3 linked regions of the Daphnia pulex genome follow. The main gene of each other region encodes a partner of the protein of the gene in region 2 in a complex. Links are inferred from orthologs where the notes say so. Each region holds a gene or a part of one and is shown on either strand. Other genes may lie near its edges. The genes, in order: integrator complex subunit 12-like, integrator complex subunit 1-like and integrator complex subunit 9-like.

Region 1 (3,190 bases), on a different chromosome or scaffold from region 2:
TGACGTTGGATCCCATTTTGAGTGACGTCATGTTAAAAAAAGGCGAAGTAGCAGCTTCGCTTAGCTGGGAAGAGCTAATGAGCCGCTGTCAAGCTAAACTTTCAACAGTTTATGAAATGATCTTCCCAAACCAGTCGGCTCCCGTCATCGTGAAAGGAGAGTTGGAGCCAGTCGAGATTACCACGGCATCGAGAGCTGGCAACAAGAAGGTCACCCTCATCAGTGGCCTTGAGACGTACAGGATCGACTTGGACGAATTTGCTCGAAGGTACCAATGGTCTCACATTCTTTAGGTGAAGGGGTCTCTTAAAAGTAAGCGAATTTCTCTTGTCTGTTTGAATAGGTGCCAAGTAGGCGTGGCGGCTAGCACAACAATAACCAGCTCTCCAGCTAAAAAGGGTCAATTGGTGTTGGTACAGGGTAACCAAATTAGTTTTGTCGGAAATTTGCTCATCGATGAATACGGAATTCCCAAGTAATTTTTTTAAAACTAAATAATAAAATAATAGAAATAAATATTAACTTTACAAAATTTTATCTTTTTTCTAACAGGCAATTTATCCAAGGATTCGACTTAAAAAAAGCCAAAAATAAAAAATAATTTTTGCGAAATTGTATAAGAGAATGGAATCCGAAATAAACAACACGGAAAGATGGTGCCTGTTTAATATACAACCGACTATTTTCCAGGTTTCCGTTTTTCTTGCAATTTTGTGGCAGCCCGTTTCTTAATGTTCTGCAGTCGTTTATCGGCGTTAATGAGGGATGTGTTGCCAATAGTATTTCCAGATGAAGAATTGCTACTGCTGCTCGATGAGCTTGTTGACTTACTTGAAGCACCGCTGCCGCCATTTGGCTTCTGGGGCAAGGTTTGCTGTTTGCTGAAGTTAACTACCAGGCCGGCTGAGCTTTTGCCACTCACGGAACTCGGAGAGTCAGATCGACTTTTATAGAAAGTGATGGGACTTTCCCTACTGCTACTTGATTTAGGTCGACTAGCGGTCTTTTTCATTGACTTGCTACAATCGGAACAGAAAAAGACGGATCGAGGATCGTTAACTTCGGCGTCGCTAATATTCGGTTGGTGGCATTCCTGGTGATAAAGGCCGTGACATTCTTGGCACTCTACGAGCTGATTTCCAGAAGTAACATCCAGGCCACTGTTACGTAGAGAGAGGAAAAAGTTTGAATATTTTTATCACTATAACAAACAATAAGACTTACGTGCAAATAACACAGTGAAGATCCATAATTTCCTGAGCCAAGTCATCGGCGTCATTCAAAGAATCGAGGTCGTCGCTTTTTCGAGCCACACTTGGAGATCTCGAATTTCGTGGTGAACTAGGAAAATATAATTTTAAAAATAAAATTAATAAATAAGAAATCAAATGGAAAACACCTCCCAGCTGGTGAGCCAGGCTGTGAAGAACGAGGGGAATCTTTGAATTTCTTTGGAACAACTTCATCATCATTGAACATGTTATCATGTTTTCGCTTAGATTCCTTGTTTTTCTCAAGAACACTGTAATACAAGACTTAGTTAACTAGTATAAAGTTTATCCAAAACTGTGGATACATACCTAGAAGATGGAGATGAAGGTTGTGAAGATCGAGGAGATTCCTTCCTTCTTTTACTGAGAGGAACATCTTCATCAATGAAGAAGTCACTTTTCTTCTTTGTTTCCTGTAATGCAAGAGATTTAATCACAACAGCATAAAAAAAGTAAAAATATATTACCCTTTTGATCATCGTCAAAGGTGGTGGCAACTTGCTGACAGAAGAGTTGGTTTCATTCTTTAATCTTATGGCTTCATCCAACATAGATTTCAATTGGTCACCAGAATCTTTAGCACTAGAATGCAAAAGACTGATAGCTTTAATTAAATATGGTTCAATAAGACCATCCATTATCAAACTTAGAATTTAAAATATTAATAATAGTAAATATTTGTAATGAGTTCTTGGAGCTATTTTCAAAGCAAACCATTCACGACAGCACTTCTGTCCGAATCAACATCAACTTCAAAATAAATGTGAAGAAGGAAATGGCCCTCTGGTGGCAGATTCAATAAATTGTGCAATTTTATTTTCAACACTTTCTTTTTATTAATGAACAAAAAGTATGCAAATTTTGACACCAAATTTAATTAGCGCGCAATGTGATGTCTTATTTTTAAAAAAGAAAGAAATTCGGAGTTTTATCAAGAATTCTATAAATAGCGATAAGACTCAGCGATGACACCTAGCGGTAGTTTGCTAACGACGGCTTAGATAGATTTGTGAGTCTAGCCAGAAAGACATTCATATTCTGCTTCTGCACAGACGGACTCGCTGTTGCTGGTTTGGTTTTAGCTTTCGACGAGTTATTTTTTAACACAAATTTTTAGGATCAAGATAGCCGTTGTTCTTCTCTCTGTGATTACCTCACAACGAAAAGGAGATGTGTAGTTGATTTGGTGATTATAGAATCCGTTTGAACGATCGAAAGGTTACTAGTTATATCACGTCTCCTGTGATGATTACATATCAAAGTGATGTTATATGTGCTGTATGAGGTTCAGTGAGGATGTGAGGCCTGTTGGACACGGTTGTCGATTGTTTTCAAGTCGAGATAAAAGACATTTAGTCACCTCACAAAAGGGTGTGAGGGGATTTTCTAATTGACGAACAAATTCTTGGATTGTGCAAGCTTCCACCCCATTTCGCTTGCTGCCATGTCTACATTTGAGCCAGCCGACAGGAACAGGTAAATCATTTAAATTCCTTTTTAATCTCTAACAGGTCATTTGTTTCATTCCTTCATCAGCCAGAAGTTGGTGTGAATTTCTCAGGAAATTGCTGTTTGTTTGTGTTGGCTGCAACCACCAGATAACTTCTAGCTTCTAAATTTAGGTTTCAAGTAAAACCCCCCAGCCAGACGGTAAAGAAAAAAAAGGAAGATTGTTTAGAAATGAGAGAATCAGTGATGCATCCTGCATCCTCGATTTAGAAAGTCTCTCATATTGCCAATGTCCTTATTCTCTCTCTCAATTAAATGACTGATTCCTGACAGATGATGATCATGAAGATTAACTCCTCTACTGCCTTTTTCTCTACATCCTGCTGGTCGGTCCCCTCTCTCCCGTATATCCGGAGAGTCATCTAAGATAGGCCATGGATTTTCCGAGGGGTGGGCGTCGTGATAAATAT
Region 2 (3,754 bases):
ACTGTCGGAAAAGTTCCATCTCTCTCAAATCTCCACGGGCGACCAAAGATGCTGATTCACGCACACCTGGACTTATGGCAAGGAAAATGCATAAAGTCGTCAAGTCTGCCAATGAATTCAAAAGCCGATCCTGGTATCAAAAGTCATTATATTATTTCGTATTGCTACTAACATGGTTTTTTTTAAATACTACCGAACCTTGAATTCGAATTCTCTGATTGCAACTTTGCGTCTCTCTTGCATACAACCGTGTAAAAGAGCTGCACAAAATGTCGGTAAAGGTAAGTCGTGGCGGAGAGCGCGAACCACTTCACGTAATAGTGCTCTAAAAACATATAACATTAATTATACCCAGTCCACGTCTGTGAATTGCAAATGCAAAATACCTGAGTGCCCGAAGGTAATCGTCACGATTGAGTAGAAGTTCCATAAAAACGTCCGCTAAAATTGTGGCAGCACGATCAGGCCACGGTTGGACCAAAACAGCCAGTACTGCCATGTTATTCGGTCCTCGAGAAGGGGAGAGCTCATTGAATATTAACAACCGCACAATGAGTGGAAGCTGGTCCACCTGCTGCTCGACCAATTCTTTAAAACAAGTTAGATATGTCTGGAGCAGCGGTTTACTCTGAAAATCAAAAGAAGAAAGTATTACTATTTTTGTTCTGAAATTAAAACAAAAACATTGACGTTATTACTACCTTTAATCTCAAACGTAGAAGAGCATTTAGAACATCTGTGTCTGTAGGAGCTTCGGTACTGCAATTGACGCAGATCGAGAGGAGGAGGTCGGTGGCTGGTCTCACAAGTTTTTGATTGGAAAGCCACATTTCCAATCGCTGGGCAGCTTGAGTTCTTACAGCGGGCAAACCAGCTGTTGATGTCAAAAACTTTAAGAAGTTCCTTGTAGTGAGGTCAGATGCCGGTTGCTGCCGTCTGAGAAACCATTGATTATATTACCCTAACCTTAATGCAACTCAAATATTTTAATACCTGCTTAAATGTTGATTTACTATTTCCATGACAAGTGCTTCTGCCATGTCTTTGAGATGTTGAAATCGAGGAATAACTCGAACCTAAGAAAAAGGTAACAATGAAAATACAACTATGTGCATAATTTAAATCCCACTTGTTACCTGTTGCTGATCGAGATGAGTTGAACCTCGAAGCAGCCCACCCTGACTGTTATCTGAATCCACGCTGGCATCATCTTCAAGACCAGTGGTGCCAAGAGAAGTTATACTAGGAGAACTAGCAGCACCAGAAGATCCAAGTCCAGTGCCAGTAGCACTTTCTTGTTGAAGGATGTTCCTTGAAGGGACTTTGGTGTTGAATGCCGTTAGGATATTCTCGACAAACCCTTGACATTCTTCGCGATCTACCCAAACTCGTTCTCCAACGGAATCTTCGACAAAAACTTTCAAGAAAGATTCTGGCCATTCCGTTGAATCTTCTAGACCGGCTAACAACAAATTGCAAGCCAGTGAAGCTGCAGAAGCAGTTGTCCTTCCTTTAAAAGGACCAATACTGGCGGTAACGTCTCGTTTGAGTAATACCAATAAAGCTTCAACAATCAATTCGGTGTTGAAATATTGCGATCTCCATTTAGCTAAGTAGACAAGGGCTAGTGCAAGAATGGGTTCCACTTTATTCCGTTGACTCAGACTAAAGGCTTTCAGTTGCTTAACTGATCCACATAGGATTGCTTCAATTCTTTCTTCATCATCATTACTTTCAGCCTCTCCAATAGCATTCAACAACTCTGATGCTTCAATCTTGAATAAATTTTTATAAAGAAACATTATTTAAAGATAAATTGATAAAATCCAGAAGATTGAGTAACTCTACCTCTATAGCAGCTTCTTCCCATGGCTCTAGTCTGTTACCAGTCGAACCTGGACTGGGAGGATCAGCAGCCTTCAAAGCAGGTCTTCCCAATGCAGTAAAGGATGCAGTATTTGGGAGCCCAGGCTTTGCTTTCTTAGCTGGATTTTGAGATGAACCTGGCAGCTGGCTTGGTGCTTCCCGCTTTTTATCTGAAGGACCTACACAGTCATGAAACATATCATTCTTTAAGGCTAATGTACAGACTGAAAGAATAAATAATAATAGTAGCTGAACCGAGTTAAAAGAGATTGTTAAACAGGAATGTGGATAAGTTTAAAATTTTATAATCCATGTTCAAACTTAATTTATAAAAGGATATGATAAGCAAGTTATTGGTCAGGGTCAGGACCAGGGAAAGAAAGAATGGAAATAGAAATATTTTTGTTCTCATTTTACCCAAAGAAGGAAGTGGAGCAGGAGTGGGTTTTGATGGACCACCTGAAGAAGATCCTGATTTCTTTGCATCAACTGGTTCTGCTCGACTTTGCTTTGGTCCAAGAGCAATAAAATCACCAGAGAATCCAAGGGGTTTTGACTTGGAGTTTTTAGGCGGCAAATTCTTGCCCCGATCCATTATAACTACCGTCCAGCATTAACACCTCTTCGAAACTGATTTTGTTTTTGGTTGAGCCGAGTCTGCGAGTGTCTTCTGCAAGAAAGCGTGGTTGCATTTCTGTTTGTAAAGCGAATCGCATACGACATTTTCCTCCCCCCCCCCTCAACACGTCGTCTGCAGCAAATTGGCATATAATTAGTGATAGAGGCATCAAGCTTGTTGTGAAAACACATTCGTTAAGAAAAATGGAAGACGACGATGAAGTTGATGTTCTAGGGGATTTCTGTCTAAATCTTGAGTATGTACAAGCTTTTGTTTGCATGTTATTTGTACTAACTGACATTTGATCACAGGACGGATTTGAACCAATACGATGCCGGGGAGTTTCCTACACAGAATTCGGAATTATTGGGCGATTATATGCAACATCCTTGGCTTCTTGAAAGTTCACAAGTAAATTTTTATTCAAAGTGGTTTATATTTGGGTACAGCAAGATCTAACTTTCTCACAGGTTTGGAATATGCCAATGATGGATCATGCCAATGAAGATAAGAACAAAACACTTAATTGGGAGAATATGCTCCATGAAGAGAAAAAACACTTTTCAAACAGTTTACCCATGGCAAACCCTCCATCAACCACAACATCTGCTGTAGTTGCTTCAAAAGTGAGTCCTATGTGGACTAAAGATGATGTTGCATCTCTTCGTAAAGGAATTGTAAGTGTCGGAGTGGTTACTGATTATGGCAGGACTGTGTAACTTACTTGATACTTTTATTAAAGGGTCTACACAATCAAAATTGGAGCAAGGTTGCTAGAGCAGTTGGAACCAAGACTACTCTTCAAGTGAAAAGTTACATTAAATCACATCCAGAACTTATTACAAGTTCCTCAGTTCACATTTCCAATACCCCATCACCTCCTCAGTTCATCAATGAAGTGGAAGTTACAAACGAAGAACCAACCTTTCACTTTTCTATGGGTGACATTGTTTATGAAGCAGAAGTCCCTGCTGTATCCACAGAAGAAGTAATTGCTAGTGTGGCACCTACCAAGTGGGACTTGACTCCGACAAAAAATAGCAAAAAGACGAACCGTTCAAAACCAAAATCTCCTACAAAAGAAATAAGGTATGACAAATATTTAAACAATAACTGCCATTGATTCAATATAGATATTTTTAAAATTCTTTCTTTAGGCGGGTAAAAAATCCACTCTTAGTTAAGAAAGCGCCTGGAAGACCTAGGAAAATTTCAAAAGACTTATCCGTCCCCCAATTAACAAATTGTAATATAATAATTGATGATGCC
Region 3 (3,754 bases), on a different chromosome or scaffold from region 2:
CCTGCTTCCTCTTAATTGGTAACTGTAACACCTGGTAGGACTTCATACCCAATGCTGGTGGATCCAATTCTAAAAAAAAAGAAAGAATAAGGTTAACTGACTGGCCAACTAGATCCAGTTCAACAGGAATCGATCGAAGACTTACCCTGAATAACCAAGTCTGATCTTAAGGGAGCCGACACTGGCGGGTGGAGGTAAACGTCTGGAACGAGTAAGTTTCCTGGCTTGAGATCGCGTATCAGTTTATTGGCTTGAGTGAAGCTCAAACTCGTGTCAATGGGACAGTGAACGATTTTCATGGTCAGTGGTTGATAGGGGGCCAGCGCTTCCAGGTAAGGGAAATCGGGTTCAACGAAGACGATACTGTGGTTGCTATGACTGCCCCATAACTCTATGAAGTGAACTACATTGCCAAAACGAAGGGAAGGATGACCGCAAAATACGACACATGGCTGTCTGTACTCGTTGGTGAATCCTTCGGCATGCAGGCTTGGGAAGTGTTTCAGTCGACCATTTTTGATGAGATGGGCGTGAGGAAATGGTTCTTCTGGGAGATAAACTTTGCTCTGCTTGCCTGAAGATAACCTATATGAAATGAGGATGATAAGTTGACTAAACATTTTCGGAAAAATAATAAATGTGACAAGCCGAACCATTCAGCGAAGATGTTGGAATAAGCCAAGGAAGTTTCGGCCACGGGAGAGAAGAAAAACAGCGGAATCTGACTAAGACCAATATTGTCTAAATGAACTGAGAGACATTCGAACAGATCGTAAAGAAGGCCGGAAGGGTGACATGGGACTAGGCAAGATCCGCCCGATCGTAACGTGGATGCTGCAAAAGGTTTAAGGAAACATTGTTAGTTTTTTTCTAATGTAATTTAATAGAATTTTACTATTTGAATTACCAACTGCCATGCAGAATTCGCCCAACATTGAATCTGGATTGGCCACGGGGGTCTGAGTCAACGCTGTCAAGATCAAGAGATCGGCATTTCTAAGGGCAACTTGATCCATCGGCCTGTATATGGAAAAAATGGTATAAAATTAATTTGTTAAAAAAGTAACACTAATTAAGCTTATAGAACCTTGGGTGGGTCGTGAGAGTAGATGAAGCGCTCACGTACGCAATCTTCTCATAGCCGGAATGAATGATCCAATTGCAACTACCAAGGGAATATCCAGAACTGACGGCCATCACAGTTAAAGCACCACAGATATCCTAAAAGTTGTCGGTTAATATTGTTTCATAAGAATTTTTTAAAAATCCGAAAAAGGACGTACAATTTTTTCGTTGAAGCCAACCATGCGAACTTTTGCCAGGGCTGCATTGATGGCTTTTGTGGAATAGACTTTCTTCCAATCATTTGGTCTCAGAGCCCCACTGAGAGGAGGAGGAAGAGACTGGAGTACTTGCTTCCATCTGTTTGCTCGCTGATTTTTGGGAGTCCTTTCCAAGTAGTTGACCAGTTCTTCCATGTAGAGCCTACGACAAAGAATACAATATAGTCTCAATATTGTGTGACAACAATTGCAGGTTGCATACCTTCCAATCTGCAAGGTGGGTTCAGTTGCATATACCCTCCCTTTAAAGCCAGTTTCTTCAGTGATGAATGGCAGGGCCAGCATGCAGGCATGATTCGATAGCAAGATGGTATCCACATCAGAGATGTCAAAAATGTCTGACTGAGGGGGCAGTATCTCTATTGGGCCATCCACCAACACTCGATTTTCACATTCTTTCAGTTCCTATACAGGATAAATGAACATTTGAAATGACACGAAGATAGAGAAGAGATCAAATCTAACTCACTCCATCAAGAAGTGCAGCATCCTGTGTGTCTCTCGGGATCCAGTTTGGTAAATTTGAGAGCCTTTTGCTGGCAACGAGAGGCAGAGGTAGAAAATGAAGGGCCGAGTTGATATCCAGCCCACAATCGAGCATCAGCGAAACGCCTTTGAAATTCAAGATGTTGCAGGGTTTATTTGGGTTGGCGCCCAGACTGTACTATGTAAACAGAAACTGTGTTTATCAGACCGCTCCATTTCGGTGAAAGGAAAATATTAAAATGCTTACGATTTTCATGTTGTGGGCGCGTTTTATCTGAAAAGTGACAAGAAAGAATTTTTATTTCAAACTCGGTATATGACAGACAGATCCAGACTTGTTTGTTTGTCCGGTTCGTACTTACTACACGAGCTGCTAGCAGACTAACATTTGAAAACCCAATGCAGCGTTGTCATTTTTCAACTTGAAAAGATAGGTTCATTTTATTTTATTATTTTATTTTTTTAAATAAGAGCGCCGGAACGCGAAAGAAATAAATCTAGAATAAAAATTGAAATCTGAATCACATATTCGCTTTTGAGAATGTGTATTGAATAACGCCATCGGATACGCAACAAACAAGCGAAACAAAAGAAGCTACAAAGTTACACACATTTTGTCAATGATTAAGAACGAAAGAATATTATATCACTCTATACAGTTTTGTTGGTTGTCAAAAAAAAAAAATTCGTCCATTTCGTCGATTGTGTTGCAAGACACGCCCTTATCAGTTCTCCGTCCAGTAGGGTGTTCAACTAAATCTTGGTGCAACCAAGAAAAAGGAACTTTCCAAAAAATCTAACCGGACTGGTGAATGATAAGGCCAAGTCATTGAACCATTTTCTCCACAGCGAGAGATGATACGTGATGCTCCTTCAGCTTCCGGTGTCGAAATGCCTCCTATATATATTTGATGCCCCTGCAACAACAGAAGAAAAAAAACACACACACAATAAAAAGAATCCAATAAGCAAGACCCAAGCAAGAAAATGAAGAAAACAACATGGTCGATGATCGGCTTGGCCTCTGTGTTTGGTCGGGAGTCTGCTGTGTGTCTGTGTGAGAAGAGAGAAATAAGAGCAGACACGGTTACTAAGGGGGAGAGAAAGGGAAATGAAATACGATGGGGGGGAACACAACACACACATCACAAATGGGTGTCGGAGACGACCAACGACTATACCCAAAGAGGGGAGAGCATTTTTCCTCTGTATATATATATATATACGTGAGCAAAAAGGAGAGAGTGAACGGTCTTTTACAAAATGGGAAACATCTGCCCGGCTGCTGGCCCTTTTCCCATATCAAAAAGGAAAGAAAAGAATGAAAAAGAGAAGCTTTTGTGTGTGTGTTTGATATATACCATGGGGTAGGTGGTAGTAGTAGTACAGTAGTGTAGTTGGGAAATCAAAAGAGCTCAGGGGCCTCCCCCCTTATTCACCAGAAATGAAAAAAGAGAAAAAAATGTCGATACTCTGCTGGGTCGGTTGAGTGATCTATCGAGAGAAGAAGAAAAATGTGTGTTCCAACACACGATAGCTGCTGCTGCTAAAGGCTCTTACAAGAAATTGAAGCCGGAGCAATGTGAGATGTGTCTCTCAACACTCGAAGAGAGAAAGAAGAGGAAGCAGCAGCAGCTTGCTTACGACGTGTTTGTTGTGTGTGACCTCGTCTGACCGTTTTAACCATCAACGGATAGAAGGGAGGGGAGAGAGAGAGTTCAAAGTCTTTTTTTTTCTATTCAAAATATATATAATTTTTCTTCCCCCCCCCCTCTCGCTGTGTGTTAAGAATTTATTTTACAGCCGGTTCAAAAGGTTATAAGCGATAATGCAGCTGGCGCTCGGGAGTGTCTAGGCAACAACATTGGGCATGTCTGCCTCTGTCTGAGCGTGTGTGGCGTATAGATTAGATTAAATGGACGGAG

Evidence for each region.
Region 1: integrator complex subunit 1-like (region 2) and integrator complex subunit 12-like share a complex: the UniProt entries of both Homo sapiens proteins name them as parts of the integrator complex. The link is inferred for Daphnia pulex from reciprocal best matches to the Homo sapiens genes INTS1 and INTS12.
Region 3: integrator complex subunit 1-like (region 2) and integrator complex subunit 9-like share a complex: the UniProt entries of both Homo sapiens proteins name them as parts of the integrator complex. The link is inferred for Daphnia pulex from reciprocal best matches to the Homo sapiens genes INTS1 and INTS9.

The regions. Positions count from the first base shown.
Region 1 is NC_060026.1:13,198,573-13,201,762, forward strand, and holds integrator complex subunit 12-like, read right to left. Parts: upstream 2,032-3,190; 5' UTR 1,910-2,031; coding exon 1,739-1,909; intron 1,685-1,738; coding exon 1,581-1,684; intron 1,523-1,580; coding exon 1,400-1,522; intron 1,342-1,399; coding exon 1,225-1,341; intron 1,161-1,224; coding exon 680-1,160; 3' UTR 602-679; coding exon of another isoform or gene 553-601; 3' UTR 519-552; downstream 1-518. Other genes in the region: eukaryotic translation initiation factor 2D-like, read left to right, coding at 1-268, 344-475, 553-601; adapter molecule Crk-like, read left to right, coding at 2,716-2,747. UniProt on the Homo sapiens protein: Component of the integrator complex, a multiprotein complex that terminates RNA polymerase II (Pol II) transcription in the promoter-proximal region of genes.
Region 2 is NC_060019.1:12,572,018-12,575,771, forward strand, and holds the start of integrator complex subunit 1-like, read right to left. Parts: upstream 2,532-3,754; 5' UTR 2,462-2,531; coding exon 2,284-2,461; intron 2,046-2,283; coding exon 1,849-2,045; intron 1,776-1,848; coding exon 1,137-1,775; intron 1,077-1,136; coding exon 994-1,076; intron 937-993; coding exon 702-936; intron 629-701; coding exon 387-628; intron 326-386; coding exon 199-325; intron 131-198; coding exon 1-130. Other genes in the region: histone H2A deubiquitinase MYSM1-like, read left to right, coding at 2,689-2,741, 2,797-2,896, 2,956-3,162, 3,228-3,574, 3,643-3,754. UniProt on the Homo sapiens protein: Component of the integrator complex, a multiprotein complex that terminates RNA polymerase II (Pol II) transcription in the promoter-proximal region of genes.
Region 3 is NC_060027.1:3,457,655-3,461,408, forward strand, and holds the start of integrator complex subunit 9-like, read right to left. Parts: upstream 2,224-3,754; 5' UTR 2,086-2,223; coding exon 2,077-2,085; intron 2,008-2,076; coding exon 1,813-2,007; intron 1,749-1,812; coding exon 1,546-1,748; intron 1,486-1,545; coding exon 1,284-1,485; exon of another isoform or gene 1,222-1,283; coding exon 1,088-1,221; exon of another isoform or gene 1,021-1,087; coding exon 908-1,020; intron 844-907; exon of another isoform or gene 835-843; coding exon 654-834; intron 586-653; coding exon 146-585; intron 70-145; coding exon 1-69. UniProt on the Homo sapiens protein: Component of the integrator complex, a multiprotein complex that terminates RNA polymerase II (Pol II) transcription in the promoter-proximal region of genes.